4 linked regions of the Notamacropus eugenii genome follow. The protein of the gene in region 4 interacts with the protein of the main gene of each other region in a pairwise test. Links are inferred from orthologs where the notes say so. Each region holds a gene or a part of one and is shown on either strand. Other genes may lie near its edges.

Region 1 (6,890 bases), on a different chromosome or scaffold from region 4:
TTTCATAGAGGGAGGGATTCCCGGATGCTTTTGGCAGGACCCTTGCCCAGAACAGAGATCCTGAGACTCTCCAGCTTTCCCTAGTTTCTCAAGGCAGAGAAATGAGCCCAAGTCTGAAACCAAGTTTGTGTTCTCCCTGGGCACTGTGTTTACTTTTACTCAAAAATATCTTTGGGCTGGTGGGGAAGGTTCTGGTAGAAGAGTGTTGGAAAAGCTGCAGAGTTGATTTTTGAATAGAGGGGTCTCCTGAGAGAAAAGGAGGGACTCTCATATTTGGATAGAGACAGGGCAGGGCAAAAGAGTCTCTCACCCTTTGGAATCTGACCAGTGGGGATGAAGCCCAGAGCTGGGAACAATATATAATTGCTGATTGATTGGTTGATGAAGGGGTGGGGTTTCCCTTGCTCTCCCTGCCCCCATTGGGTTCCCCCAGCTGACTTGGGGGGAATGGCTCCCTCCCCCCACATCCCCGCCTGTGAGGCTTGTTTAATGGGGGGTGGCAAACAGCCATGTGCTCCCTGAGAGTCCCCCTCCCGAAATCCCGTTCTGCCAGCTGTCTCCTCCCTTTGTCCCCAACCTCCAGTCCCTGGAAAGTGGCCTGAGGCTCTACTGACATCATCCCTCTCCCTCACCCCTGTTTTCCTTTCTCTCTCGGGCTCCTTATCTCCCCTCCGGCCCATTTGCTCCTTTCACTTTCTTCCCTTTCAGTGGGGGGTGCTTCAGGTCCCCCTTCACTCCCTCAGTTCTTTACTCTCTCTCTTAAGGTTGCCCCCTCCCCCCTCCTTTTCTCTAGCTTCCCAGTGCTCCCTTCCTTGGGAGCTGCCACTGACCATCTGTCCTGTTCCTAAAAAAAGCCCATAGGATTTTTGCCTTTATCTTTTGCCCTGTCCCCACACATCACAGGAGCCGGTCCAGGGTAGAAAAGTAGGGAAACATAAGTGTGGGGAGGGGAGGAGGGAGAGATCAAAAAGAAAAGAAAAGGAGGTGTGAAAGAGAGAGAGGCAAAAGTGAGGAAGAGACTTAAAGAAAAACAGCCAGGGAGGCGCAGAAAAGATGAAAAGGAGGGGAGGGGTGGGGATGGGGGGATGATGAGGAACACAAAGGGCAAAAAGCAGGAAGACAAAACCAAGCTAGAAGAGGCTTTTCTCCCCAAACCTTCCAACCCCTCTCTCCTTACCCCGAGTGGGGACTCACCGACACAGCCATGGTCTCCGTTGCCTGTCCTATCCTCCTCTTGCTCTGGACTGGCTTTGGGTTCTGGGCAGATTTCAGCAAGAGGCTCCCAACATCATGGTCTGGGGCCCAGTGCCAGCCCCTTCACATGGGGAGAGGCGGCCCCCAGTCTGGGGAGGCCGAGCAGCAGCCGGAGCTGAGGTTTGAGGAGAGAGCAAACCGGGCGAGCCCCTAAACTGAGAGACTGCCCTTTGGGACAAGCGGAGAGGCTGAAGCTTCTTCCAAGTCTTCATCCAAGGGGCTCCAACAGCTGCTTTCCCCCCACAAAGTTGCCTTGGAGATGGAGGGTCAAGGGAAAGGGTCTCTAAGGACCTGGTTCATGAGGCTGAGTGGCTTGACTCCTGGTGCACATACCACATGCCAGAGATCTGGGGACGACTCAGGGGCCACTAGGATGAGAGGCTAGGGTTGGGCGCAGCTTCTGTCTCCGAGGCCTCTCCAGGGGCAGGGCTCAGGGTGGGGAGGATCCTTGAGTTGTTTGGCTGGGTAGGAAGCTAAGTATGAACCAGGCCTGCTCTTGGCACCTGAGGGTAGAGGAACTTGTAGGAAAGTTTCTCAGGGATGTGCTTTACAGCAGCCTTAGGAGAGGGATAGAGGGAATGGAAAAGCTGGGAAGGAGAGAGAGAGAGAGAGAGAGAGAGAGAGAGAGAGAGAGAGAGAGAGAGAGAGAGAGAGAGAGAGAGAGAGAGAGAGAGAGAGAGAGAGACAGTGATCCAGAGGGTGAGAGCCAAGACTGGTGCTTCAGATTCTCAGGAGATTGCGAAATCCTTCTAGAACCACAGCCAGGGACCTCACGGAAATGGGGTTTGAGGTGGGGTGGGGGGTACTGGAAGATTTGTATGATCATAAATTCCAAAGAGCTGCTTGAGCACATAGACAGCCACTGACCCAGGAACACAGACCTGCTAACATTCTGGTTCAGACCCACTCAGGACAGCCCACCGAGTTCCACATTAAATGACATGAACTTAAAAGACGCAGGCTGGCTTCACACCTGCCCTTTCACATACACGTACACAAACTTACAGGGACCTGGGTACACTTACCAACTCACTAACTGGGTCAAATAGACATGATCACAGCGGTCTGACTTCACAAACTTCTTTCCAGCCTCATACACCATCCTCACGACCAGCTGGCGACCAAACACCCCTGCACCTTGCATTCACTGATGCATGTGTCCCCTCTCCCGCCTCCACTCCACTCCCTTTCTCCTGCCACCCCCCCGATGATCTGCCACCCACTCTCAGAAGTGATTTCCCCTCCTCTCAGTGCTAGGGCTCCGGTGTCTGGTTTTCTTGGGGGCCAGTGCTCTGAGGACAATCCATCCCAAACTCCAAAGTGTCTCAGCTAAAGAAAAGAAAAGCAACCTGCGAAGGAAGGACACAAATATCAGAGAGGTGTCCTGATGCCTGGGCGGAGGTATGTCCGTGTGGGATCCTCCAGGAAAGACACACACACACACACACACACACACACACACACACACACACACGCACACACACACACAGTCCCTGTGGCAAGGAGGCGGGGTAGGGAGTGGGGGGGAGGAGACCTTAGTGGGGGACAGCCCAGTCCTCCTCGAAGGCCACGCTCCACCCCCCTCTTCTCTTCTCTCCTTCCCTCCTTTCTTTCCGCTTCACTTGCTTTCTTTCGTCACACTCACTGTCTTTCCTTCTGGAGTTCTCCTTTTCTCTGGTTCGTTAGCTCTCCCTTTCTCTGTTCTGAGACTCAGTCCTGTGGATTAAGAGAAGAGAGAGGAAAAAAGGGAGGGAGGCAGAGAGGGAGGGAGGAAGGGGAAGAAGGAGGAGGAGGAGGAGGAGAAAGGAGGACAGATTTCTCTAAAGAAGGGTGTTGAGTTACAGCTCCAGTGCCCCTCTGGCCAAACCGCTCCTGCTGCCGCCAATGTTTTCTCTTCCTTTGCTGGCTCTCTCCCTTCTTTCCTCCTCACGGCATCACATAGAATCAGATACAGTGACTTACTGAGATTTTTCTTCCCTGTCCCACTTCTCTCCTCCCTTGGCGCCTTCTTTTCTCCTTTCTTTTTTCCAACCCTTTTTTTCAGTTTTTTGTTGGTTCATCTTTTCTCTTTGCTTTCTCTTTTATCAGTCTGATATCTGCTTTCCTCTCCTCTTTCTAGCTGTCCCACAGACCTAGCTTCCTTCTCTGCCAATGGCATCCCTCAAGATATCGATACCCACTCCCAGATGCTGTGGTGGTAAGGATTATAAAGTGGAATTTGGTACGTGTGCCCAAACCCATATTCTAAAGCAGGAAGTCTTAATCTTTTCTGTGTCACGGACCCCTTTGATAGTCTGGTGAAGCCTCTGGACCCCTTCTCAGAATAATGTTTTTAAATACACAAAAACCCACATAGGAGAACAAAGGAAACCAATTCTATTGAAATACAGTTATCAAAATATTAAAAAAAATCAAATGTATAGACCCCGGGTTAAGAAACCCTGTTTAAAGGGAAGGAAGTTGCTGTGTATCAGGTGTGGGTGATGGGCCTATGGAATCATTGGATTTCCTTAAGATTAAATTTATACAGATCCTCAACCAAAGGGTATTCAAAGCTGTAGTGAATTTGTACAGATCCAGCTGTATGGTTCCAGGACTGGAAGCAGGCCAGTTCTCAAACTCTTAAATTCCTCAGCCAGTCTGGGCTTGTCCCATATTCTAGCCCTGCCTTGTTCAACACCTCTGCAGAGCAGAAATGGCGACTGTCAGGTACAGAGGGCTCATATGGTCTTTAGGAAGAGCAGGGAGCTATTTTTGAGTCTGGGTGAGGTTCTGAGAATGGAAAACCATCCTTTTTCCATGAAAATTTCATATAGGGGTAAATGGGACCACCACAAGTCCATCTACAGAGGTCCTCTTTTCTGCCGTTATTTTAATCATCCATTCACTTTCCACCTTCTCTCTTCCCCTCTAAAGTTCTTTTTTTCCCTGCTTTAAAAAAGAAGAAAAAGGACTGTCATCTTTCTTTTTTATTATTTATTTATTTATGTTCTACAATCACTACCATAAAACTTAGATTTTTACCCCCCCACACCTACCCCCCACCGCCCCCCTCCCTCCCCAAGATGGCATACAATTCTATATAGGATCTACATATACTTTCCTATTGAATATGTTTTCACTATAGTCGCGCTATGTAGACGAACTAAAATAAATGGAAGAAATCATATAACAAATTAAAACATAATACACACACACACACCACACACACACACACACACACACACACACACACACACACGATCTGCTAATTCTGCGAATGAATTCCATAGTTCTTTCTCTGAGTGTGGAAGGCATTTTGCTTTAGAAAACCTGTCATCTTTCTTATATGAAAAAGAGCCCCCTGGCTCTTCATGAGTAGAGTATACGCATGAGTTTTCCTTTCCCAGGAGTAGTGAAGAGTTCGCACTGATCTAGCACTTAACTAGGTTAGAGTTTTAAGACTGTGGCTGAGAAATAGGATAAAGCTAACTGGCCCATGTGGGATTCACCCCATGACGACCTGAGGGGTGGAGTCTAGGCTTTGTCTAGTCCTTCCTCCTTCTGGAGGTGGAAGGTGCTATGTCACTTTGTAGGTCCTGAGTCTTAGAAATTAGTGAACTCAGTAGCATCATGATGTAAGTAAGTTATGTACATTCTGGGCCAGAGAAACTAAAGGCTTCTTCTTCTTCTTCTTCTTCTTCTTCTTCTTCTTCTTTTTCTTCTTCTTCTTCTTTTTTGGCAATTTAACTTAGGGGATGTCCTTAAATGCTACACTGAGGACAGGGTGGACCTGGAGTTAGGTTTGGATGGGATTTTCCCAGACTATCCCTAAGATAGACGTGAACAGATAGTGTTATCTACTAACTTTCCCCCTATACTTACAGTGGCAAGTTACTTAGGATAGATTTCCAGCTCACCCTGGTCTGAATTTATTCCTCTATGATAGGATAACTCCCCTTGGTCTTTGAAATCATGAGTACGTTAGACACATTGCTTGGATCTTGGGGCCTTCTGGCTATTCCATGAGCAAGATGCTGTCTCTTGGCATTCTCTTTGACTGTACCCTATGCTTGGAAGGTTCTCCTCCTCTCCTCTGACTACTGACCTCCCTGGCTTCCTTTAAATACCAACTTAAATATCACCTACACGCCTACTCTACTGCAGAGAGCACAACTCAAATGGATTGGCCGCGTTGTTCAAATGCCAAACGTACACTTGCCTGAAAGACTATTCTGTGGAGAATAGGGCGAGCACTCACATGGCGGTCAAAAGAAGTAATACAAGTACACTCTCAACATCTCTCCTAAGAACTTTGGAACTGATTGTGTGACTTGGGAGACGCTGGCATCAGATTGCCCAGCATGGTGTGCCCACATCAGAGAAGGTGCTGTGCTCTGTAAGCAGAGCAGAATGGAAGTAGCTCAGAAGAAACACAAGATTCACAAATTTAGAGAATCCACCCCAAATGTTCACATGGACTATTTGTGCCCGACCTGTGGTAGGGCATTCTGAGCTTGTCTTGGTCTGATCAGTCATAGTTGGATGCATTGTACCGTGACTCTAACATAGTGATGTCATTTTGGTCCTCTTTGAGAACGGACAACGACCAGCCAACCAAAACCACACCTTCTACTGGAAACCTTCTCCAACCCCTCTTAATTCTAACGTTTTCCCTCTTTTCCTACTTATACCGTACAGAGCTCACTTTGTATATATTTGACAGCATTTTGTTTCCTCCGCTAAACTATGAACTCCTTGAGGGCAGGGGCTGTCTTTGGCCTCTTTTTGTGTCTGAATTCCTCAGTACAGTGCCAAGGACATAGCAGGCACTTAATGAATGCTTATTGAATAAATGAGTATGAAACTTTGTGAGTTTCATGGGGAGTCTCCACACCCTGGGAAGTCATGTAGGGTCCCTTTTCTGGTAGGAATGTGACTTAGCCTGGTTCCTGTTATGATCATGATCATAAAGTAGTTGAGGTAAAGGGGAGATGAAAACTTGGGTAGGACCCCTGTCAAGGCAAGAGTGGAAAAGATATTACTTTTCTAAGAAGTGCTCCTTAGAGAGGCAAAACTTAATCCAAAGGGTCCGTAGTTCAGGTTTTAGGGGGACCACAACTTTCCCACCACTTTTGCAAGATTCGTGGGATCATTACAATGTACTAGAAAGACAATGAATGTCTTTGGTAGAAAGATCACCATGTTCCCAGGCACGGAAAGTGAATTATTAACTCCACCTGATTGTGTATGTACTTGGCGGGCATGAGATATGGGTGAGAGTTTTACTTTCTCTCCTGCCTTAGGCCTCAAGTTGAACCTAAGCAGATCAGAGTTGCATTTATGAACTTATTTAGGGCAATTTCTGGTCTGAGAAGCAACATCAGTGTCAGAATGGGGTGATTTGTTCTTGTAGCTGGTTGGCTGGGTAGTTGAGACTGGATAGATGGCAACTCAGTGACCTGTATGGGCAATGCATGAGGACATGGTAGACATCTGTCGCCATGCCACTGGCTTACTTACCAACCCTCGTCTTCAGAGAAGTTCTTGCCTGAGAAAAGGTGGATAGCTTAGCTAAAAAGTATGTTGTTAACCTGGACAATGTGAATGTAAATTTTTTTTACATATTTCATTGTAGTTGGTTTTCTTCCTAAGCT
Region 2 (6,963 bases), on a different chromosome or scaffold from region 4:
GTGAGATTGTTAATGTCAGAGAGAGTGAGAGTGAGAGTGAGAGACAGAGAGACAGACAGAGAGAGAGAGAGAGAGAGGACAATCTCTTCTTGTCAACCTGGTCTTAGGCTTCTCACAAACAGCTCAATTTGGGGACTTGCATTCTCATTTTACTTTGAGAAATTGCATATGGATGTGTACATGATCAAGTTCAGAAGAAACCAAGGTGCTCAACGGCAGATTTGGGTTGAAGGACAGTAACCTTTTACAGAGAGCGAGAGGGCTCCAATGCCAGCTTCAAGAGTGCAGCAACAAAGAACTGCGTCCGGTTATCAGTAAACCTTCCATTCATTCCTACCCATCCTTTTTACTACATCTTACATTTTTAATCACTGTGAAAACCATGGCTTTGTGGAACGCAGCGCCTGCTGGTTCGAAGAACACCAGTCTGGCTCCTGGGTTTTCTGTTTTAAGGGGCACACACATGACTGAGGAATCTATGACACGGAGACAAGGAGAATTAGGGAAGAGGACAAAGCCTTTGCTGTGCATATTTAATTCAATTTGCTTCCTAGTCAGAGAAGAGGAAACATCTGTTGAAGAAACGGCTCGGATGGCAACAGGAGCAAGACATGGCAGGCATTCCCCTGGGCTCTTCAACAGCAGGAAGGCTAACAAACTATCATCTGAAAATATAAATGTATTGAGAAAAATATTATACTTTCAAAGTTGATGTGCAACTAATTCAATTTACAAGTTAGACTTGGAGACTATGACATCTAGAATTCCAAATATCACAGGAGTTCCTGAGACTAGGCAAGAATCTCCATCTCCCCTCCTCCCCACCCCCACCCCCACAGGCCAATAGTGACAGCATGAAAATGGGAAATCTCAGGGACATTTTACGATAAAAGAGAGTGCGGCATGTAGAAACGTATTTTACACAGACGCGAGATACTTCCTATTTAGCACCATTGGCCATGCAAATGAAAAACATTTCTGAAATGCTTCCTTAAGCAGGCAGCATGGCTCCCGAGGTGAGGGAAGGTAACCACCGCTACGTATCTAACGAATCTCCTGCCCCATCAGCAATTACGACCTTACCGAGAAATAAGAAACGTGCCCAGGCGACCGCAGAACAAAATAAATTCTCAGAAGTCAGATACACTCACAGGGCGCAAACAAACCAAAGCATCCCTGACAAGCCACTGGAAGGCCTGCAGTACAGGGGGGCTCAGTAAATGCTGACCGACTGACTGACAGGCTGGGGCTGGGCCTCTGATTTCACCGGCACAGGGAGAAGCTCTGCGCACCTGCCTGGTCCGGAGATACCGAGAGGCGCTGACCGTCCGCGCAGGAGGCGCTGACCCTGTGCACAGCGGGCGCTGACCGTCTGCACAGCGGGCGCTGACCGTCCGCGGAGCAGGCGCTGACCCTGTGCACAGCAGGCGCTGACCATGCGCACAGCAGGCGGTGACCGTCCGCACAGCAGGCGGTGACCGTCCGCACAGCAGGCGGTGACCCTGCGCGCAGCAGGCGCTGACCCTGCGCGCAGCAGGCGCTGACCGTCCGCGCAGCGGGCGCTGACCCTGCGCGCAGCGGGCGCTGACCGTCCGCGCAGCGGGCGCTGACCGTCGGCACAGCGGGCGCTGACCCTGCGCGCAGCGGGCGCTGACCGTCGGCACAGCGGGCGCTGACCCTGCGCACAGCAGGCGCTGACCCTGTGCACAGCGGGCGCTGACCGTCCGCGCAGCAGGCGCTGGCCCCAAGGCCTCCGCGTCCGAGCCTGGGCCTCCTCCCGGCCGGTGCTCGCTGCTTCGCTGCGGTCCCAGAGCCGGGTACGGAAGGCGCCCAACGGGACAGAACAGCGTTGCCTCATGCCGGGACCGGTGACAGGTCGCTGCAAGGCGAGGGTCATTCTCTGGGTTTCTTCAGTCGGACAAGCGGACACGGGAAATGACAAAGCTTTAAGGTTAATATGAGTGACTCCTGAGTGGCTTGGAACATTGGCTCTTCCTGACTCGCCCTGACCGCTCTTGGCCAAACGACCTTCGCAGACACTGAATTAGACCCTCTACGTGGGTAACGTCCTGAAGGCCAGGCCCGTGAACACGGACTCCCCTCTAAGTCTGCCCTTACACGGCTCACACTCATCTCCGAGACGTCGCTGGGCCGCTCCCTAACTCGGCGAAGCTCTGCTGGAATGTCAGAGGCTTGTGCGGGGGCGCCACGCTTCTCAGGCCCAATCCTCATCTCGAACGCACGGGCCATAAAGCTCACACACCTGTGTCTGCTACGGGCCAGTTCAGCTAACCTCAGAAGGTGGAGGCGGGAGTGAGAAGCGCTCCGCGGGGCCCTCAGGAGGGCCAGGAGCGTCGTGTTGTCGGGCCGCGCGGGCAGGGCTCGGGGACCGAGCAGCTCCCCCTCCCACCCCAGCCTCGGTCGCCCCCCGCAGGCCCGCTCCCCAGCCCCGCACCGTCCCAGCCCTCCGTGGCGCCTCCGCCTCGGCTCTCTCCCCTCCTTTACACACACTCGCTCCCCCGGGGGTCTGCTCCGGCCGAGCTCCCGGAGATTAGAGTCCGTCAGTTGGGTCTCCGGGCCCGCGGCCTGGTCCGGGGGCCGCAGCCGGCCTTTCCTCCCCCTCCCCGGGCCCCCCCACGCCCTGTCCCCCCCCCCCCCCCCCGGACCCACTTCCCAGGCCCGTCTCTAAGGCTCGCTTCCCGTGGGTTTCCAGACCCAAGAACCGAGACTGAAGCCTGGGCCGGGCCTAGGCCAAGGCCCGAGAGCCACGGGCGAGGCCTCGAGCACGAGGACCAGGAGGAGCGGTCCAGGCCCCGCGCCTCTCCGCCCGCGGGGACCCCGCCCGGACACTGGGCGCTCCGCCCCCGGGAGGCCGTGCTACCCACCGAGGCGGGCCCAGCACCCGGGGCTCCCCAGGCCTCGGCGTCCTCCTCTATGCGATGGGCATGAAGGGCGGCTGCCTCCGACGGCTCAGGGGGTGAACGTGCCTTTATGAAGCACCACTGCATGCAGGGCGCGGCGGGTCACGTGGCGCAAGGCGCGCTACAGACGCGTCAGTCCGTGGGAAGACCATGGCTCGAGGGTCACCCCGAAGCCCACTCACCGGGCTGGCAGGGGCAGCGGGGCTGCAGGGTGGCCCACAGTGGAAAGGAGCAGCTGGGGAGTGGGCACCAACTCAGGCCGCGACCAACGGTTACTAAGGGGGGGCGGCGTCCGTGGTTGCTATGGAGACCCCCCCCCCCCCCTCTCCGTCTGCGCATGCGCCTCGGTCTCCCTCCGCCGAGCTTCCGGGTGAGGTTCTGGAGAGGGCGGGGCTTCGCGGGACGGCGAATCCTGCGGCCGGGGGCGGGGCATCGCGCGAGAGGGCGGGGCCGGCAATAAACGTCGCGCAAGCGCCCTGCTCCGGCGGTCCCCCTCATTCCGCGGCCCAGCGGCGTGATCCTCATGGCGGCTGCGCAGGCCGGGCCTGACGTGGCGCTGCGCGAGGCCACCCAGCGCAAGCTGCGGAAGTTCGAGCGGCTCAGAGGTACAGGGGCGAGGGGGGGAGGGGGCGAGGAGGCCGCCGGCGGCAAGCGGTCTGGATTCCGGGCGGGACTTCCGGGTGACGAGGAGGCGGAGCCTGAGCCTGAGGGCTACGGACTTCCGGTATCCGGCGCCTCTCTACGCAGGGGCGGGACCGGGAGGTGACGTCACATGTCCCGCTGGTCAAGGGAGCTCCAAGGCCTGGTTCCCCTGGTGTGGCCCTTATTAAGCGCCTGCTGTGTGCAGGCGCAGTGCCCTGCGTTGGAGGTGCCAAGAGAGGCCCAGGTGGCGCTCCCAGTTTGCCAAGGCTCCTCCTGGTCGGGAGGGGCTGTAGAAATGGAGTTTAGTGGGGCTTGAGCCCCAGGGCCGTGGCCTGCATTCATGGGGCGCCTGCTGTGTACCTGCTGCAAGGCCTTGGCCGTGCAAAGGGAGGCCCATGCGCCGCACCGCAGCATCAAGGCCTAGGGCCTGCCCCCCGCAGTCAGACTCGGGGTCCCTGGGGAGAGAGATGACCTGGGAGGGGTGATCAGTCAGTCCACAGGCACTAGCATTTATGGAGCGCCTACTGTGTGCTAGGCACTGTATAGATAGGGTCTCAGCAGACCTTCCCAAGAAGCCCGGACACAGGGCTGTAAGATCCTCGTTTTACCAGTGGGGAAACTGAGGCAGGCCGTGGTCGGGTCGTCTGCCAGCCAAGTGTCAGAGGTCAAATTTGGACCAAGGTCTCCCCGACCTGGTGGCTGCCCGAGGTGCTGGACGCTGAGCCCTGCCCCCGACGGACAGTCAGGCCTGGGCAGACCCCCCAGGGGGCCGCAGGCCTGGTGCCCACCCTCTGGCACCACACTCAGAGTCCAGCAAAGGACTGGATCATGCTGACCTTTGCCCTGGCCTCCCCTTGGCCCGTGCATCTTCTCCGGTGCCCCTGGTCAGCCCGAGGTCATGCTCTGCAGCCCTGGGCCCCCTGCCCACACCAGTGACAAACGGATGACCCTAGAGTCAGATCAATAACCTGGTGGCGGCAGGGTGGGGGCTCTGCCCCTGCCCTCCCAGACTCCTCTAGACCCAAACTAGGGGCACTTTCCCCCCCTTCACTTACTGGAGTGTGCCCTGGCCACTCCCGTCTCCGTGCCTTTGTAAAGTCTGTCCCCAGTCTCCTCTGCCCCTTGGAGTCCCGGCTTGGAAGCCTTCTGTCTGTTGGTCTGAGCATGTGGAGCGTAAACCATGAGGACAGAGGGACAGTACACGTTTACCCGGGTATCCTCAGCGCCCCCACAGTGCCTGTCTCAGCGGACATAAGGCGTCTGTTGAATAGGGATGGCATAAACTGTTACAGTACTAAGGCTTGGAATAGCCAGTCAGCCTGGTCAGCGCCTAGCCCACTGGCATCCCTGGGATCAGCCCTGGATGAGGATAACAGTCCAGCCGTAAGTTTTTTATTCAGCCTGTCTGCAAAGTCAAGAACTAGGCCCCTCCAGCTGTCTACCAAAAATTCAGGATGTTCCCCAAGGAGTATTTTTTTTCTTGAGCTAAAGTTTTCCCTTATATAGAGTTTATGTATCCCATCCTTAAAACCTTTCTATGTTTGAAAGACTCCATTTTTAGTCAGGAAAAGGGATAGATTGAGGCAGTGGTGGCTTTGGAGGGACAGTCTTTCCTTAGATGGCACCTACCTTAGATGAGGCAGCTAGGTGGTGCAGTGGACAGAGCACCAGTGCAGGAGTCAGGAGGACCTGAGTTCAAATCTCACCTCAGACACTTGACACTCACTATCTGTGTGACCTTGAGCAAGTCACTTAACCCCAATTACCTCATCCTGGGGCATCTCCAGTCATCCTGATGAATATCTGGTCACTGGCCCCAGATGGCTCTGGAGGAGAAGTGAGGCTGATGACCTGCACAGCCCTCCCTCACTCAAAACAAAGTCAAGTGCAAGTCATGTCATCATTTCTCTGATGGCATGGTCTTCTTCAGCAATGAAGGAAAAACACACCTACCTTAGCTAACTACCTCTGAATTTCTGTGATCCATGAAAATTGATTTTATCTGGGCTTCCATCTTCTCCTCTTAATGAAAGATTGATATGAAAGCCTTCGACAAGCCCAAAGTCCGTCTCTTAATCTCCAGAGCTTCCAAATCTAATCTCTTTCATCCTAGGATTTAATTCAGTGAGCAGGGTCTGGGGTCTACAGATACGAGCAAGGAGAGGTCTAGCTTATGGCTGCCAGGCCAGACTGCCACTTACCAGTCATGACTTAGGCTCAGCTTCTCCAGTGGAGAAGATATCCCCAGAAGTCAGCCAGTTGTTCTACTTGGGGAGGTGGTGGGATGTCTGGAAAGATGGGAAGTCAGGAGAAACTTGTGATTGCGCCCACTCGGGATGCCGAGTAGACACTTCTCTGAATAGCTTGTATTCTTCGGATTCAGTTTCTTCATCTTTTTTCACGGGTAGATCATATTTTGAAGCTTGCAGGAAGCGCGATGTTCGTCAAGTCCAACCTCTCTTCGTTCAGGTGCCAGGAGGACGTCACAGGGATGGGAGTCACACCCAGCTCCTCTGACTGGCACCAAAGGGAAGCCTGTTTGTGAACTCCCATGCTCACTGATGTCCTCTCTTTTCCGAACAGGCCAAGCTATGAAAGCGGGAGAATTCTGGGATGTGGTTGTGATAACAGCAGCTGACGAGAAGCAAGAACTGGCTTACAAGCAGCAGCTTTCCAGAAAGCTCCAGCAGAAGGAGCTCCCCCTGGGCGCCCACTACCACGTGTTCGCTGACCCTGCCGGAGCCAAGATCGGTGGGTTTTCCAGGCAGAGGCTGGTGCGGGGTGAGCCGAGCCTTGAGGGGCCTTTTCTTGCAGGAGAGAACGCCCCGGGGTCTCTTCACCCGTGCCCAGCCACAGATGTGGCTCAGGTTTTAGTGGGTGTGTTGGGAGGGAGCTTGGAGTGGCGCAGAGGACTTTGAGGACCACAGGCCTGGGATTGCTCTCCAGCCTTGCCACTGAGTAGAGCTCTCTGGCCTCCAGCGCCGTCTGTAAAAGGGAGATGGTTAATCCCCAAGGCCCCTTCTGAGAACTGGTCCGTGTTGGGACCTGGCTGCTCATTTCGGGGCACTAGAAAAGCCTTTGTTTTTAGTCAGTTCTCTTACAGCAGTGAAAGGCTTGTAGAATGCTGTTTAGAAGAGAGTTATGTTAATTAAGCCACAAAGAATGCTCTGTGGGCTTCTCAGGAGTGTCTCTTTCGCCCTCCCCACCCATGCCCCATATACCTTGGGTTCGTGGGATCACCATGCAATGCATAACCACCACATATTAGAGTAGCACGGATACCCTTGGTGTTTCCAGGCCATGTCACCCTTTCAGGGTTCAGGAAGTGAATGAATCTCACCTGCCCAGGGAACTGTTTCAAATTCAACATTTGGAGTCAAGAACTATGGCTCCAGAAAGG
Region 3 (7,392 bases), on a different chromosome or scaffold from region 4:
CAAATCTGGCACTTTGTCCAAATTAATCCAGCCTATGTTGATTAGTATGTGTTAAGGTGGAAAGGTTTGGTTCCTGGGAAGTATGACTATTCAGAGAATGTTTTTCTGGAGACATGACTGCTTTTTTTTATCTAACCCCTCTAGAGTGAGAATTTCAGGTCAGTCTTAAGTAGAGGACAATGTCATAGGAGGTGATAGAGGAAGTGGCTTATTTGGGGAGTGGAGGATAGAGGGGACAGCCATAGCGAGGCATTTTATATCACACTACATAGGATTGGCTCTTATTTTGAGAGCTGACCTCTGGTTCAAGAGCCACAGGTTGTGATCTTGCCTTGAAGGTTACTAGAGAATACAGAGAATTGAGATTCTAGGGACAGAATATTTTCTGGAAAGGGAGAGCTGGAGCAAGGGACTTGAAGCAAGTATTCCTATGGCACTGTGGGTTGAGTGTTCCCTTAGGGAACCTGGACTACCCAAAGACTCCAGGAGGAAAAAATAGTAGATAACAAGTGCCAGGTGGGCAAAGTCACCACCAGCATTGCCACTACCACTCCCCTTAGACCCTGGGGGAGATAACTCAGGCCTTTAAACCCAAGAGCCCAGGCAATGTCAGTGGCTTCCAGACCACCAGCTCCATTTCCAGCCTAGCCTTACCCAAAGGAACAACCTTCTGGATGGTTTCAGTGCCTCATTTCTTCTGCTCCTCTCAGCTACCAAAGTGGTTTTCCTAGAATGTGTACTGACTGCCTGCAAGGGGCAGCTAGGTGGTGCAGGAGATAGAGCACCAGTGCAGGAGTCAGTAGGAGCTGAGTTCAAACCTCACCTCAGACACTTGACACTCACTAGCTGTGTGACCTTGGGCAAGTCACTTAACCCCAGTTGCCTTGGGCAAGTCACTTAACCCCAGTTGCCTGGGTCATCTCCAGTCATCCTGATGAATATCTGGTTGCTGGATTCATATGACTCTGGAGAAGTGAGGCTGGTGACCTGCTCAGCCCTCTCTCACTCAAAACAAAGTTAAGTGCAAGTCACATCATTATCAGGCAACGAAGGACAAACACACTGACTGATCAGCACCTCCAAGTTCAAATATAAAATTCAGTTTGCCTTTTAATGTCTCTTATAATCTGACCCCTTCCTCCCCTTCCAATCTTCTTAGACTTTACTCCTTTCCTGTATTCTATGATCTAATGACATTGCTAGTCAGTCAATGAGAATTTATAATTTATTTGCTCATTCCTCTCTGGGCTACACTTTTAACTCATCTACACAGGACTTGTCTACCATGGAAGCCTCTTTGATTTAGAAGCTCACCCTTTCCCTGGAATACTTCTCATGCTGGAAGTGCTTTCTAGGCCTTTGTTCTTTTTCTCTGATTGGCTGGTTCCTACAAGAACCTCCATTTTAAGGAGACTGTCCAGGCCAGCCACACCTTCATTCCTTTCCTGACTGCACTCCAGACTTCTCTGTACAAGACTTTATCTACTCTAGTCCTGCCCCAGCCCCTATCTTTTTTTAGTTCCCTTTTATGTGTTGTCATAGTCCAATTGGAAAGGAAGCTGCTTTCTTTCTGCTTGTACTTGGATTCTCAGGATTTAGCACAGTGCTTGACTGACTCTCCCCCATGCCAAGAATTCTCTCTCTGCTCATTTCTATCTCCTGGCTTCCTTCAATTTTCAAATAAAATCCCTCTTTCTTTTTTTTTTTTTTTTTACAATTTCAACTTGCCTTTTTTTTTATTATTATTTTTTTTTTATTTTTACAAATCTTTTATTTATTTATTTTTATTATTATTATTTTTTTTTATTTTGTAATGTTTAACAATCACTGCCATACAATTGTGATTTTATCCCCCCCACCTGCCCCCCACTCCCCCCCTCCCCTAAAATCCCTCTTTCTGCAAAAAAACTTTCGCAGTCCTCCTTAATGCCTTCCCTCTGAGACTACCCCTAATTGTATGTATGTAATGAATATATGTATATCCATATCATGTTCCTGCATAGTTTCCTGCATATGATCTTTGATTAGATTGTAAGATCCTTGAGGGCATGAGCTGTTTTTTTGCCTTTCTTTGCATGTACAGAGTTCAGCACAGCCTCTGGTACTGAGGGAGTGTTTAAAAAATGCTCATTGATTTGACTTGTTGATTTTGGGCAGTCCCTGCCTCCTTAGTAGCCACAATTTTGAAGATGGGGAGAAGAAAATGCTCACCACCAAAGTCCTTGGAACTTCCAAATAGTTCAGTCTCAGAAATGGATATGGTTCAGATTGGCTAATGACAGAAAAGGAAGGTGACAAATGACAAATATGGGAATGTGGAAAAAATGGGATGCTAATGCACTGTTTCTAGAGTTGTGAACTGGTCCAGCCATCTAGAGAATAATTTGGAATTATTACCAAAGAGCTCTAAAACTGTACATACCCTTTGACCCAGCAATACCACTACTAGGTCTATATCCCAAAGAAATCAAAGAAAAAGGAAAAGGAACTATAAGTACACAAGTATTTACAGCAGCTTTTTTTTATGGTGGCAAAAAACTGGAAATTGAGGGGATACCCTTCCATTGGGGAGTGGCTGAACAAGTTGTAGTACGTGATTGTGATGGAGTATTATTGTGATATAAGTGATGATGAGCAGTATGGTTTCAAAAAAGTCTGGAAAGGCTTATACGAACTGATATAAAGTGAAGTGAGCAGAACTAGGAGAATATTGTACTCAGCAACAGCAATATTGTAAGGACGGTCAACTGTGAAAGGTTATTACTCTTTTCAATAGCATAATCCAAAATTATTCCAAAGGGCCCTGATGAAAAATGCCATCCACCTCCAGAGACAGAGCTGATGAATTCTGAGTGCAGATTGAAGCTTTCTTTCTTTTTCTTTCTTTCTTTCTTTTTCTTCTTCTTCCTGTCCTCCCTCCCTGTTTTCTTTCTTTTTTTCTTTCATGGCTATTATGGAAATATGTTTTGTATGACTTCACATGTATAATTGATATCATATTGTTTGCCTTTTCAGTGGGTGGAGGAAGGGCCAGAACTCAAAATTTTAAAGAAGAATGTTAAAAAATAAATCATTTAAAAAGAAATATGGTTTCATCAATGGAAATTACATTAACATCTCCTTAAGGGTTATGGTCTAAGGTTTATGGGGCTTTTCCATCTAACTTGTAGGTAAGACCTCTGAGGCTATATTTTAAGGGTTACAGGACTCTTCCACCTAACATGTAGCTAGGACCTCTTAATTTACTATTTTTTCATCCATTCATTCATCATTCCCTTGCTTAAGAGCTTTCAACACTTCCTGTTGCCATTTCAAGCTCACCACTATCTGTCTGTAACCTACCTTCTTGCCTTATTTCACATTATTCTCCTCCATACACCTCTCCTTACTCCCTACAGGCCACCCCCCATTCCCTGAAATGCAATGCCTCTCATCTCCTCCTCCACCTTCAATGCCCAGGTCACTGCCCCACCTTGTCCATGAAGCCTTTCCTGTTCTGGTTGAAGGCGAGCTCTTCTTCCTCATATGCTTGGAGAACAGTTTCCACCTACCTTGCATCTACCATACTTACGCTTCCCTTCTATTAGATGGAGTAGAGACTTTGTCACTTTCCATGTTTGGATCCCCAGTACCTAGGATGGAACTGCACCAGAGATTTCACTGGTCTCAGAAACTCCCAGTGAGGGAAACCTCTCTACTAATGTAAAATGACACTTTCCGTGCATTTACAGGGGGCATTGAAAGCTAGTGGGTGACAAGAGAAACTTGAAGTCAAATCTTTCTGGTACCAACGTTGCCTCTCATAGGCATTTTATAACTATATGTTAACTTGAATTTCATATGGCATTTAATGGTGCCACGGCCTTCCACGATCCACCATTTCCTCTGATTGGGGCTTGGTGCTAATGTCCAGCCTGCAGTACCTGCGGCCCAAGGTGATTGGGCAGGAGGGAAAAGAGACTTAGGAGGAGGAGAAAAGGAGAAACGTAGTGAGGGGTCAAATCCCTGAGGAGTCTGCAGAAAGGTAACTGAAGGGAACTCAAGAGTAAAGCTGTCCCTTGGGGGACCAGTTCCCAAGAGTCACCACTACTCTTTCTCCTCTTCTCTTCCACCCCACCCCCAGCTCATCTATTTCCTGCCTAGGGCACTGACTCAGGGCACTGACCCAAGGGAGGAGTATCTGCCAGCTGGTGCTCATCATGTGCACATCTACTTTACCCCATTTACCCCCAATTTCCAAGACACAATTGGGGATCTTAGGACCTCTCTCTTTCCCACACTACATCCTCAGGCTATCCTTTAAGTCTGTGGATGGGGAGATTTTGGGGGACACCCAATAGGGCTTGTCTCGTTCTGTCCTGCCGGGAGATGTCATAGGGGAGGGGGGGACGGCGTCTGAGAGGAGGAAGGGGGCTCCTGGTTTTCGACCCCAACTCTCACTTCCCCTACTCAACGGCGTCCAACTCCAGGTGGTGCTGCCAGCCTGCGGGGAGGCAGCTGGGCTGCCCCCTTTGGGCTTCTCTCCCGCCCCACTGCCTCAGCGGCCCCAGCCACCAGCCCCGGGGCGGCCAGCCCACCGGGGCGGGGCGGGTCAGTCCCTCCGCCCCCTACGGCTCCGAGGAAGCGCCGCTACTGCCCAGCCCAGTCCGAAACCAAAGCTGGAGTCCTCGGAACAGAATCTGGAGCCTCTTTACCTTTCCCCGACTTCCTTTCCGCCCCCGGCAGGATTGCAGGAGGTCCCACAGCCCGGGATGTGAGCTGGGCTCCCCTCCAGACTCTGCCATGGCAGCCTCAGGTCAGTCTCTTGCTTCCATCCCCTCTGAGCCCCACTACAGCCGTCCTCTCCTCTGCGAACCCAAACCGCCCTCCTCTGCTCTGCTGAGCTTCATGGGACTCTGAGGCTCGAGCCCCCCGACAGCCTTCAGGGTCCCCTACACTTCCCCAGAACTGGCACGCGCTCCCTCTTGGGCAGCTTGGGCACTCTGCTAACCCTGCTGCTTTCTGCATTCCGTCACTGACCTGGCATCTACCTGCGCCGCCCCACGCTGGGATAAGAACTGTTTGTTTAGCGAGCGCTTCCCGGACTTGGCAGATCCCTTGGCCCCAAGCTCCCATTTGTTGGTCGGAGGTTTTGGGGTTTCGCCTTTACTTATACATCTCTCCACCCCTCCACCCCCAATCCTCAAGTTTTTATTCTTTCTCCGAGTCCTGGCAACTTGTGTTAACTGATGCTACGGTAAGCAGAAGGAAAGAGAAGTCAGAACAGCGCTGTGTTATTGGGCAAGAATTCTCTCTTGGTCTTAGAGGAAGTTCATGTAGTGTAAAGGTTGGATCTGAGGAGCAGCATAGTGTAGTCTAATCGACTGAGCATCAGTTTCAAATTCCGCCTCAGACACTTAATAATTATGTGACCCCCCCAGGGAAGTCACCTAACCGCTTAGTGTCTCAGTTTCCTCATCTGAAAAAACCAGGAGGGGTGGGCTGTTGGGCATGATGGCCGCTAAGGTCCTCCCCACCTTGCCAGTCTTCTTGTTCCCAACCTCTCCCTCCATTCCAACCCCTCCTTCCCCTTGTCCCCCCATTCTGCAATCCAGTGACGCAGGTATTCATACTCTTCCTCCAAGAAGACTCTTCATTTCCCTACTCTGAATTTGCACTGGCTGTCCTTTGTGCCTGAATTCAATTCTCTCCCTCTTCATCTCTGCCTCTTTGCTTTCGTGGCTTCCCTAAATGCCATCTAAAATTCCACCTTCTACAAGAAGTCTTCCCAGATCGCTCTTAATTCTAGCTTCCTTCCTCTGGAGACTACTTCCAATGTATCCCGACTATGTCTTGTTCATAGATCATTGTTTTAATATCGTGTCCCGTTAGTCTGTGAACTCTTTAAGAGAAGGGACTGCCTTTTGCCTTTCTTTGTACCCCCAGCCCTTAGCTCAGTGCTTGACACATGATTGTGCTTAATAAATGTTTGCTGATGAATTCCAGCTTTATGATCTGGGTTGGAATTTTTTGTGACCTTGGATGCTTTGGATGGCAGTTTCCTCATCTGTAAAATGGGAGAATAGTATTAGAAAATCTCAGAGTTACCTTCCAACTCTCATTCAATGATCCCATCATCCCATGTCTGGCTATTTGCTAGTCTATATCCTTGAACAAGGTTTTTAACTTTTTTTGAGACTGAGTTTCCTAATCTGTACAAGGGGCAGAAATATATTTTCAATATTATCCTCAAAGGCTGTTGTGAAGAAAGAGCCAGGTAAATTTAAATTTGCAAAGGATCAATCAATGAATGAAACAGTTGTTAGGCACCTACTATGTGTGGCCCAGTGGATAGAGCACTGGGCCTGGAGTCAAGAAGATCTGAATTCCAAATCCAACCTCAGGTACTTACTAGCTGTGTGACCCTGGAGAAGTCACTTAACCTCTGTTTGCTTTAATCCACTGGAGAAAGAAAAGACAAAGCACTTTGGTATCTTTACCAAGAAAACTCCAGGGACAGTGGCATGCTGTGGTCCATGGGGTCATGAAGAGTTGGACACAATGGAAGGACTGAACTACAGCGAATGTACTAAACATTGTACTAGGCCCTGGGGATACAAATTCAATGAATGAAGCATTTCTTACTCTAAAGGGACTTACATTTTGACAAATCAACCATTACTGTTTTTACAGTGATTACTAGAACTTTTCAAGGAACTTGAGCGGTCAATCCCAAGTCTGCCCAGGAGAGGTCATTTATATCCATGGGCATCTCTCTGGCTAACAAATATCTTGCTAAATTCCTCCATAACCTTTCTATTTTCACCCCTATCTTTTATTTTCCTTTGATCTTTGCAAAATTCTTTTAGAAATAGGAAAGATGGGAGGCAATGTGGGGAGAGAAGTGAGCAAAGATCAGAGAGAATGTCCTATGACTCTTTTTTGTTTTGGTAGTGCTGCCCTTGGGATCTTTTCTTAGCCTTGCCTAAGGCTAAGTCAGGAGACATAGCAATGGTCTTTGTTTTTCTTTGGTCCAGACCTGTATTTGGTATAGGAAACTGCTGGTGAAGAAACTATTTACCGATGAAGATCACTTAGGCATCTTTTCTGCAAGTTAGTCGTGGAGAGCTTCCCTGAGAAATGAAATATTGCAAAGGATTTCACAGTTACTTTGCGTCATGAGGCTGGATTTGAATCCAGGTCTTTAAGACTTCTAGACTAGCTCTCTATTCACTAAGCCAGAGCTGTCAAACTGCAAGTCCTAACCAGATTAAAATGGAATTGAGAAACGTAAGAATAAGGAGAGAAAGTGGAGGTGGAGGTGTTTTGTAGAATGCTTTTAATGGTGGCATTATTAAAGGATCGGGGTGATTGCTATCATCCAGTAAAGAGGGTCCGCGTTCCCCACCTTAT
Region 4 (7,042 bases):
AAATTCAGACTAGTGCAAACTGGGTTTTAGGAAGGGTAGGGATTGAACCACCTGTGATTTCATTAAAGTCAAATTCAAATAGAAGCCCAGGACCACTAATACATACAGAAGGATCGCTGGGGGCCACATATTAAGCTAACTTTAAAATGTAACACTATGTTTCACTGTATTTTTATTTTGTTAAATATTTCCCAATTACATTTTTATCTGGCCAAATTCAGCTAGGCTGGACAACTCTGGTGTAGGGAAGTCCAAGAGAAAACCTCCTCTACTACTTCTCTATAACTAAAACTGCCTAACAATGAATGGGGCAATGGTTTTGGAGTCAGGAACTGTGATTTGACTGAATAAACTCCTATTAATGCAGGCCAGCACCTTTTTCTTCAACTTAATCTTAGAGAGCTGCCCAGAAGCACTAAAAGTTTAAAATGACTTGTCCAAGGTCACATAGCTAGTAAATGGGTACAAATGAATGGGCTTCTCTTTGCCAACATACTGTATCTCAAGAAACTATGCCCAGTTTGCATATGCCCAGTTCCACCATGGTATAGTGAATAGTAGCCACAGACCCCAGAAATCCTAAATTCAGAGCTTAAGTCCTGCCTCTGACCTGTCACTTAATCTCCGGAAATTTAGGGAAGAAACAATTTTAGTTAAAGAAAAAGGTGCTAACCTGCATTAATAGCATACTCAATCATCTTTAATGTTTGGTTCAAGAATACAGGCTAGAATTCTACTAAGCATATCCCTTCTGTAACATTAGGGGGCTTTTTGTATCACACAGCCTCTAATTCTTCTTGTTTCTTGCCAGGTTTACATTCCTCCATCCTCCGGAGCAAGTTAAAGATACTGGTCTGTTTGGAAATAGACTAAGAAATTAATGAGCATGTGGAGACGCTCCTCTCAATGTGGAAAAAAAAAACCAGTTTATTCAATCAAACCACAGGTCCTATCCTTCCTGACCCCCAAAATGCCCCATGCATTGCCTCCTGGTCAGTATCTGTAAGTCAGCTATATTCTCAAGGATTGTTAGAAAACGCGATGAATTAACCACAAAGCCAGCGACATGGAGATATGTCGTGTCCATCACAAGCTGGATGAAGTTGTTAACATGCCTGGCTCCTTTATGTCAGGTGCTCAGTATCCACAGCAGAAAGACGTCAGTTCCTCCAGCATTTTTACAGTTTGCCCATTAAAGTGCTTCGCAAGTGAAATCCCTCCACACGACACAAAGTAAGTTGTGTTTCTGGGCAAGTTGGGAGTTCAGACCCTAAACAATAAGGGAATTTTACACGGCAACTGCCTCCAGTAATAGCAGAGAGCGTAAAACTATGGAGAAACTTGAGTCCAAGTAACAAGTAGGACTAAGTCGTCTGGATAATGTGGCCCAGGACCACGTTCCCGAGCCTCTGGCAAACACCCCCTCCAGGAGGGCTGGCAGTAAGGCGGTGGGCACTGCCAACACAGGGGCACGAGAGGGGAGGGACGCGGCTTCCTCTCCATCCCCCCGGATCGAAGGGTCTCGTTCTCTCCCCCTAAGGAGCTCCCCGGCTCGGGGGGGGGGGCGGCTCCGGCATCCTCCCCGGGGGCTCCGGAGCTCGGCGCTTCCTGCCACCACCCCCAGCCCGGACTCCCGCAGACCGGAGCCCCATCGGCCTCCCTTCCCTCCCCGACAAGACCTCCACCACCACCTCGGTCCTTCTGCTTACCGCCCGACAAAGCGGAGCCCAACGCCCGTGCGTGCCACCCCCCGCGTTCCGCCCCACCTCCGCGCTCCTACCCCAAGCAGAAGCAGCCCACCGGTCCGTGCCCCCGCCCCCACCTCTCCTCCTCCCCGGGCGCCCCACGCACTCCACCTCCAAACAGCGACACCCACCCAGGAGGCAAAAGAAAGGAGGCAGGAAAAGCGACCGCCGGGTGGGGATGAAGGGGCGTTGAAAAGTGCAGATGCCTCCGCCAAGGTTGGGGTGCGGGGGCTCCCCGGGCCCCCCTGGGCACCAAGAGAACCCCGCTCCGCGCCAGCGCCCAGCCCGTCCGCCTCTCCTCGCGGGAAGGGGGCGCCCCACATCAACTCCGCTCCATCAGCCCAAGTTTCCGGCGGTGCCGGCACCCCGAGCCCGCGGGCTGTCCCCGTCCCCAGCCCCGCACGCGCGCGCGGAGCCCCTCCCCATCCCGGCCCGGCTCTTACCTCCGGAGCGGGGGCGGCTGAGGGGGAGGCAGAGAGCTCGGCTGCGGCGCCCCAAAGTCCCGGAGCCGGGGAGGCCGGGCGGAGGCGGAGGCGGAGGAGGCCGGGCTCCCCGCCGCAGGAGGCTCCGCTCTTTGTCTCCTTCCCCTCCGCCGCCGCCGCTGCCGCTCCCCGCCCCCCGCCGGCGGAGGCGGACTCTCCCGGGGCCGGCGCGGCCGCCGCTCTCCTTCTACTCCTCCGGCTACTGCTCCTCCTCCTCCCCGGCGGCCGGCAGCGCGGCTCCCAGGCCCCGGATCGCTGGCCTCTCAGGCGTCCTCCCGCTCCGGTCCGCGGCTCCCGGCCGGACCAAGCCCGAGCTGGCGGCGGCGGCGGCAACCCCTCCCCCCATGCACACAACTCCCTCCTCCTCCTCCTCCTCCTCCGGCTCCTCTTCCTCCTCCTTTTCCCCTCCCCTTCTCCTCCTCCTCCTCTCCTGGCCGCCGCCGCCTCCTCGGCTGCTCCTCCCCCGGCCCGGGCTGTGACGCGGTGGGCTCGGCTGGAGGCCTTCTTCCCCCCCCCCCCCCACTCCTACCCTCTACTCCCCCACCTCGCTGCCCTTCCAGGCTTAATGGCACTTGCAGCCGCCCGCCCGGGCAGGGCTCTGCTGGCACGCCGCTGACCCCGGGGCAGCCGGCCGGGGAGGGGCTGGCGGGGATGGTTGGGAAGGGGGGCGCGACCCCGGGCACGGCCTCGCCCCTTTGCACTTACGGAGTTCTGGGTGCCTGGGCCAGGGGGGCACCGGCAGCCTTCCAAGCGGGGATGCGCTCCTCCAGGCAGAGAGAAGTCTGCCGGAGCCCCAGTGGGGGCCGAGGCCGGGGTGCTCCGAAAGGCTGCTCTCACTCTCTCGCCTTCTACCTCTCCCAACGAGAGCCGGGTACAAAAAGACCGGCGGGCTCTACAGCAGGAGGGATAGAAATGGTTCAAGGACTCCTCGGTGAGCTCGGGAAGGTGGCACGCCGCTTAGCGATGGGCAAATACCGCCCATCCGCGGTGGTGGGTAGACGGGGTGGAGGGAGAGCCGGGCTCCCTTGCGACCTTAAAGTGCACGTGCGTGTCGTTGGGGCAGGGAGCTAATGAAAGGAAGGCAGTTATTTCTGCCTTTGACAAAGGGCCCTCGTGGGGGGCCTTTGTTATTTCTTTGATTTCTTATCCAGATACTAAAGCTATTGAGTGATTACCCATCCACCCACCCAACAAAGCCCCAGAGAAACTCGCAGGAAAGAAGGCCTGCGATGGATGACGGTGAAAAGTCTCCCTTTTCCTCCCTAAAGTTGCATTCTGGGGATATTTGCATGTATTTACTTTGACCACAAAATACGTTTTAATTTCAGGTATCCCTCCTGGAAACAATTCAGAAATGGAAGAGGCAAAAACCCGGCCTTTGTTGACTGTGCATCATCTGTTTAATTCAGTCAGGTTCTGATAGTACAGTCTATTGCTGTGAGGCAGATAGCAAATTATTTAAATGTCAGGTCCCACATGAAATTGTCATCTGTGATGCGATTGGTCTTCTCCCCCTATAATAAGTTATGGTTTGCCTGTAAAGAATTCCCTTTACTATTTAACAAGCTTACAGCAACACAAGTTTCACTTTTCACATGGACATCCAGGTGTCTTCTCTCCCCCAAAGGGCTTCCACCAGGCATATAGCTAATATTCTAAATACTAAGCCCCTGTACTCAGTTCAAAGGAAAGCACTCTCCTAGATCCTTGTAAAAGCAACGATAACCTCCACTACTATAGGTAACTTGGTAAAACCCAGCTCGGAAGAGTCAGAGGTCTTTTGCCTATTGTCTGTGTCATTTAACTGAGTAACTACAGTTGTCTAATATCGGTCCTATTCTTGCCGTCTCAGCATCTCCATTTGTGATCTCTGTTTTAGTGTTAAAATCTACCTTTTATCTGTAGCTCTGCTTCTGATTCATGTTTGCCTAGCTGTGGTGCAAGTCAAAGGTGTAACAATGTTTCAAAAAAATTTGATCTGTTAGGTACAGTTTCAAGTTTGTTTTGCAAACCTTTGATCTCACTGCCTTTATCTTTTTTCTCTTCAAATTGGGGACGGAGGGAGATGGGTCTTCATTGTGTTCTCATTCTTGCTGTAATCCCCTACAACTTACATCCAGCTCCTGCCACTCTACTGAAAACTGTTTTCTAAATTCCCCAAAGTCCAGTCCTCTTTTCTGTCTTATCCTGCTAACTCTGAATTGTGACACTTTCTCAAAGCCTCTATTCCTCTAAATTATTGTGGTTTGTGTAATACCTCACTACCCTGGATCTTCTACTTCAGAGCAGTTTTTCTTCACCTCCTTTATTTTTAACAACCAGCCTTGTTGGTGGTAAACCACACCTCATCCATATCCTCTGCCCCTCTGATTGGAAGATGAAGCTATAAATCTCTCCATTTAAGGAGTGGAACAGGACTGACATCTCTTCAGATATCTCATTTCCCATCTTAATCACTCATCTTGGCCTTCTTTGACCTCCACCATACCCCTTTTCCTTCCTTCATAAGTCTCCCTCCACTCCCTTTTCAACTTTCTTTTGTGTGTTGTTTCCTCCCATTACATTGTAAACTCCTGGAGGGTAGGGACTGTCTTTATACTGTTTGTATCCCCAGCACTTAGCAGGGTACCTGGCATATAGTAGATGTTTCATAAAAGTTTATTGACTATGAACTCCTCTCCCTTAATGGTACTTAATCCTCTTAGCTCCAAACTGTGGTTTTTTTCCTGCAACCCCCTTTTCTTTGTCTCTTTACTTTTCTCCCTATAAACTCATTCCCTCCTCCTCCCTCCTACCCCAAAGTAGGGCTTGCCTGTCATACTAGTTCTAGCTTCATAAAGGACATCTCCAATTACATGTAATATCATCTCTTATGCAATACATTGGAAATCATCTTTTGCCTAAAACCAGTTCTTCCCAATTTCTCTATTGTCAGAGATACCCATACCCAATCCCTCCACAAAGAAACTTTAGTTTTATCTTAGACTCTTTCTTTGTCTTTCATATCCAAATTTCCATATCTGCAAAATGAGGAAATTGGACAATATCATCTGTAAGCCCTTTTCCAGTTCCACCGTCCAATCAAATATATAAGTAAATTGTGGGATTAGAATTAACCTCAGAAATCCATTTCCACTTCTGAAATATTAATTATAAGTTCATCAGTTCTTTCTTTAAAATATCCTTCAATTTTGCTTTTTTCTTTCCATTCTACTGTCTCATCTTTACCCAGTCTCGTCATTGTCTTTTTGCCTCAATATTCTTGCCTTTTTGAAATCCATCAAACATAGTCATGGTATCGTGACTTATTATCCTAAAATACAACTTTTGTTTATATCACATCCCTGTTTAAAAACCCATAGCAACTTTCCATTTCCTCTTATGTCATGTCTAAATTTCCTTCAAGGGCAGGGACTGGCTTACTTTTGGATTTGTATCCTTTGTGCCTGATATATAGCAAATTATGTCAATGAAAATCATGAAGTACCTACTATATCCCAGCTGGGATACAAAGAAAGGGATTAAAAAAAAAAGCAGCCCTTGCTTTTAAGTAGCTCACAGCCTAATACCAGGTTGCTTATTAAAATCTTATTGATTGATTTTAAGACCTACCTATCCAGTTTCTTTTCTCCCTAACATTAAAACGTTGCCAATTTCGTCACAATTGCCTCACCACCCCCATCCAAGCCATGTTTACTTCCACTTCCCATGCCTTTGTATATGTTATTCCCCAATCTGGAAATCTTCCTGCCCTTCAAGGACCATCTCAAATTCTTTTTTTCTCCATACATGACCCTTCTTCAACTACTCAGATATCCAGTAATTTATTTTCAAATCTGTATTACAGCATTTACTTGATGCATGCTGCCACTTTGCTTCTTTATTTCCTACATCTATGCTAATAGTCCTCTGACTATATTATAAATTTCTTGAGGGCAGGGCCCATCACAGTCTGAGCAATGCTGAACTCCTGATAGATTCTCATTAAATCCTTGCTGTTTTAAAATAACGTCAAGAGGCACCTAAGCTTTCATTCTAGCTTCGCTAACTGGCCCCTAAAAACGGATGGGGTCACAGAGCTTAAGTTTTTATTTATCTGTGTAAACTTAGAGGAAAAGGCTAAAAAGAAATCTTCAATCATTAAACACCTTCCTCCCACTATTAAAGGACAAAAAGGTGGCAGGATTGGAGGGGTTTTTTTTTTTAAGCTAGAATTGTCATATCATTTTTGCAGAAACTCACCCACTTCCACTGCAGATGCTAAAGCAGCTTGGGGATCTACACAGTTTCTGTGACTTACTCAGGGTCACATAACCAGTATGTTAGAGGTAGGTCTTGAACTTATCTTCCTGACTCTGACTTGGTTCTCTATTAAATGTTGGTCTTGGACCCTTTTTTTTTTTTGGAGGCATTTGAGGTTAAGTCACATGCCCAGGCTCACATAGCTAGTACAGGTCTGATTTGAATTCAGGTCCTTCTAACTCCAGGACTGGTGCCCTATCCAATGTGTTTCCTAACTGGCCCTTGGGGGCCCTTTATATAAGTCAAAGAATGTAAACTACTTGGAGTAGGGATTGTTTCATTCTTTGTACTTGTATCCATGGCACATAATAAACACTTGTTGATTGATTAATTGGTTTTAATGATATGTGAAGATTGAAGAAAAAATACAGTTACAAAAAATTTAAACACATATAGCCAAATAAAACTCACAATACTGTTCCATATGAGTTCAATGGCATTTAATTACTATAGGTTTATGATGTTTGGGTCTTTAGTAAGACTTTATTGGTTGAATTATCTCCTTTCCAAGAG

The links.
Region 1: the proteins of NCK2 (region 4) and EFS interact in a two-hybrid assay, tested with the Homo sapiens proteins (2 studies listed by BioGRID and IntAct). The two-hybrid records come from large-scale screens. The link is inferred for Notamacropus eugenii from reciprocal best matches to the Homo sapiens genes NCK2 and EFS.
Region 2: the proteins of NCK2 (region 4) and LRRIQ3 interact in binary tests that used the Homo sapiens proteins (3 or more experiments, as listed by UniProt). The two-hybrid records come from large-scale screens. The link is inferred for Notamacropus eugenii from reciprocal best matches to the Homo sapiens genes NCK2 and LRRIQ3.
Region 3: the proteins of NCK2 (region 4) and PIK3AP1 interact in binary tests that used the Homo sapiens proteins (3 or more experiments, as listed by UniProt). The two-hybrid records come from large-scale screens. The link is inferred for Notamacropus eugenii from reciprocal best matches to the Homo sapiens genes NCK2 and PIK3AP1.

Annotation. Positions count from the first base shown.
Region 1 is NC_092878.1:9,806,566-9,813,455, reverse strand, and holds the start of EFS (embryonal Fyn-associated substrate), read right to left. Parts: upstream 3,022-6,890; 5' UTR 2,900-3,021; intron 2,804-2,899; exon of another isoform or gene 2,604-2,803; 5' UTR 1,207-2,603; coding exon 1,195-1,206; intron 1-1,194. UniProt on the Homo sapiens protein: Docking protein which plays a central coordinating role for tyrosine-kinase-based signaling related to cell adhesion. May serve as an activator of SRC and a downstream effector. Interacts with the SH3 domain of FYN and with CRK, SRC, and YES.
Region 2 is NC_092873.1:535,564,760-535,571,722, forward strand, and holds the start of LRRIQ3 (leucine-rich repeat and IQ domain-containing protein 3), read right to left. Parts: upstream 3,011-6,963; 5' UTR 3,009-3,010; coding exon 2,886-3,008; intron 1,386-2,885; exon of another isoform or gene 1,084-1,385; intron 666-1,083; exon of another isoform or gene 500-665; intron 477-499; exon of another isoform or gene 466-476; coding exon of another isoform or gene 361-465; intron 1-360. Other genes in the region: FPGT (fucose-1-phosphate guanylyltransferase), read left to right, coding at 3,445-3,526, 6,147-6,314.
Region 3 is NC_092872.1:213,496,617-213,504,008, reverse strand, and holds the start of PIK3AP1 (phosphoinositide 3-kinase adapter protein 1), read left to right. Parts: upstream 1-4,382; 5' UTR 4,383-4,782; coding exon 4,783-4,795; intron 4,796-7,392. UniProt on the Homo sapiens protein: Signaling adapter that contributes to B-cell development by linking B-cell receptor (BCR) signaling to the phosphoinositide 3-kinase (PI3K)-Akt signaling pathway.
Region 4 is NC_092877.1:200,903,479-200,910,520, reverse strand, and holds the start of NCK2 (cytoplasmic protein NCK2), read right to left. Parts: upstream 3,024-7,042; 5' UTR 2,933-3,023; intron 2,326-2,932; exon of another isoform or gene 2,189-2,325; intron 1-2,188. UniProt on the Homo sapiens protein: Adapter protein which associates with tyrosine-phosphorylated growth factor receptors or their cellular substrates. Maintains low levels of EIF2S1 phosphorylation by promoting its dephosphorylation by PP1.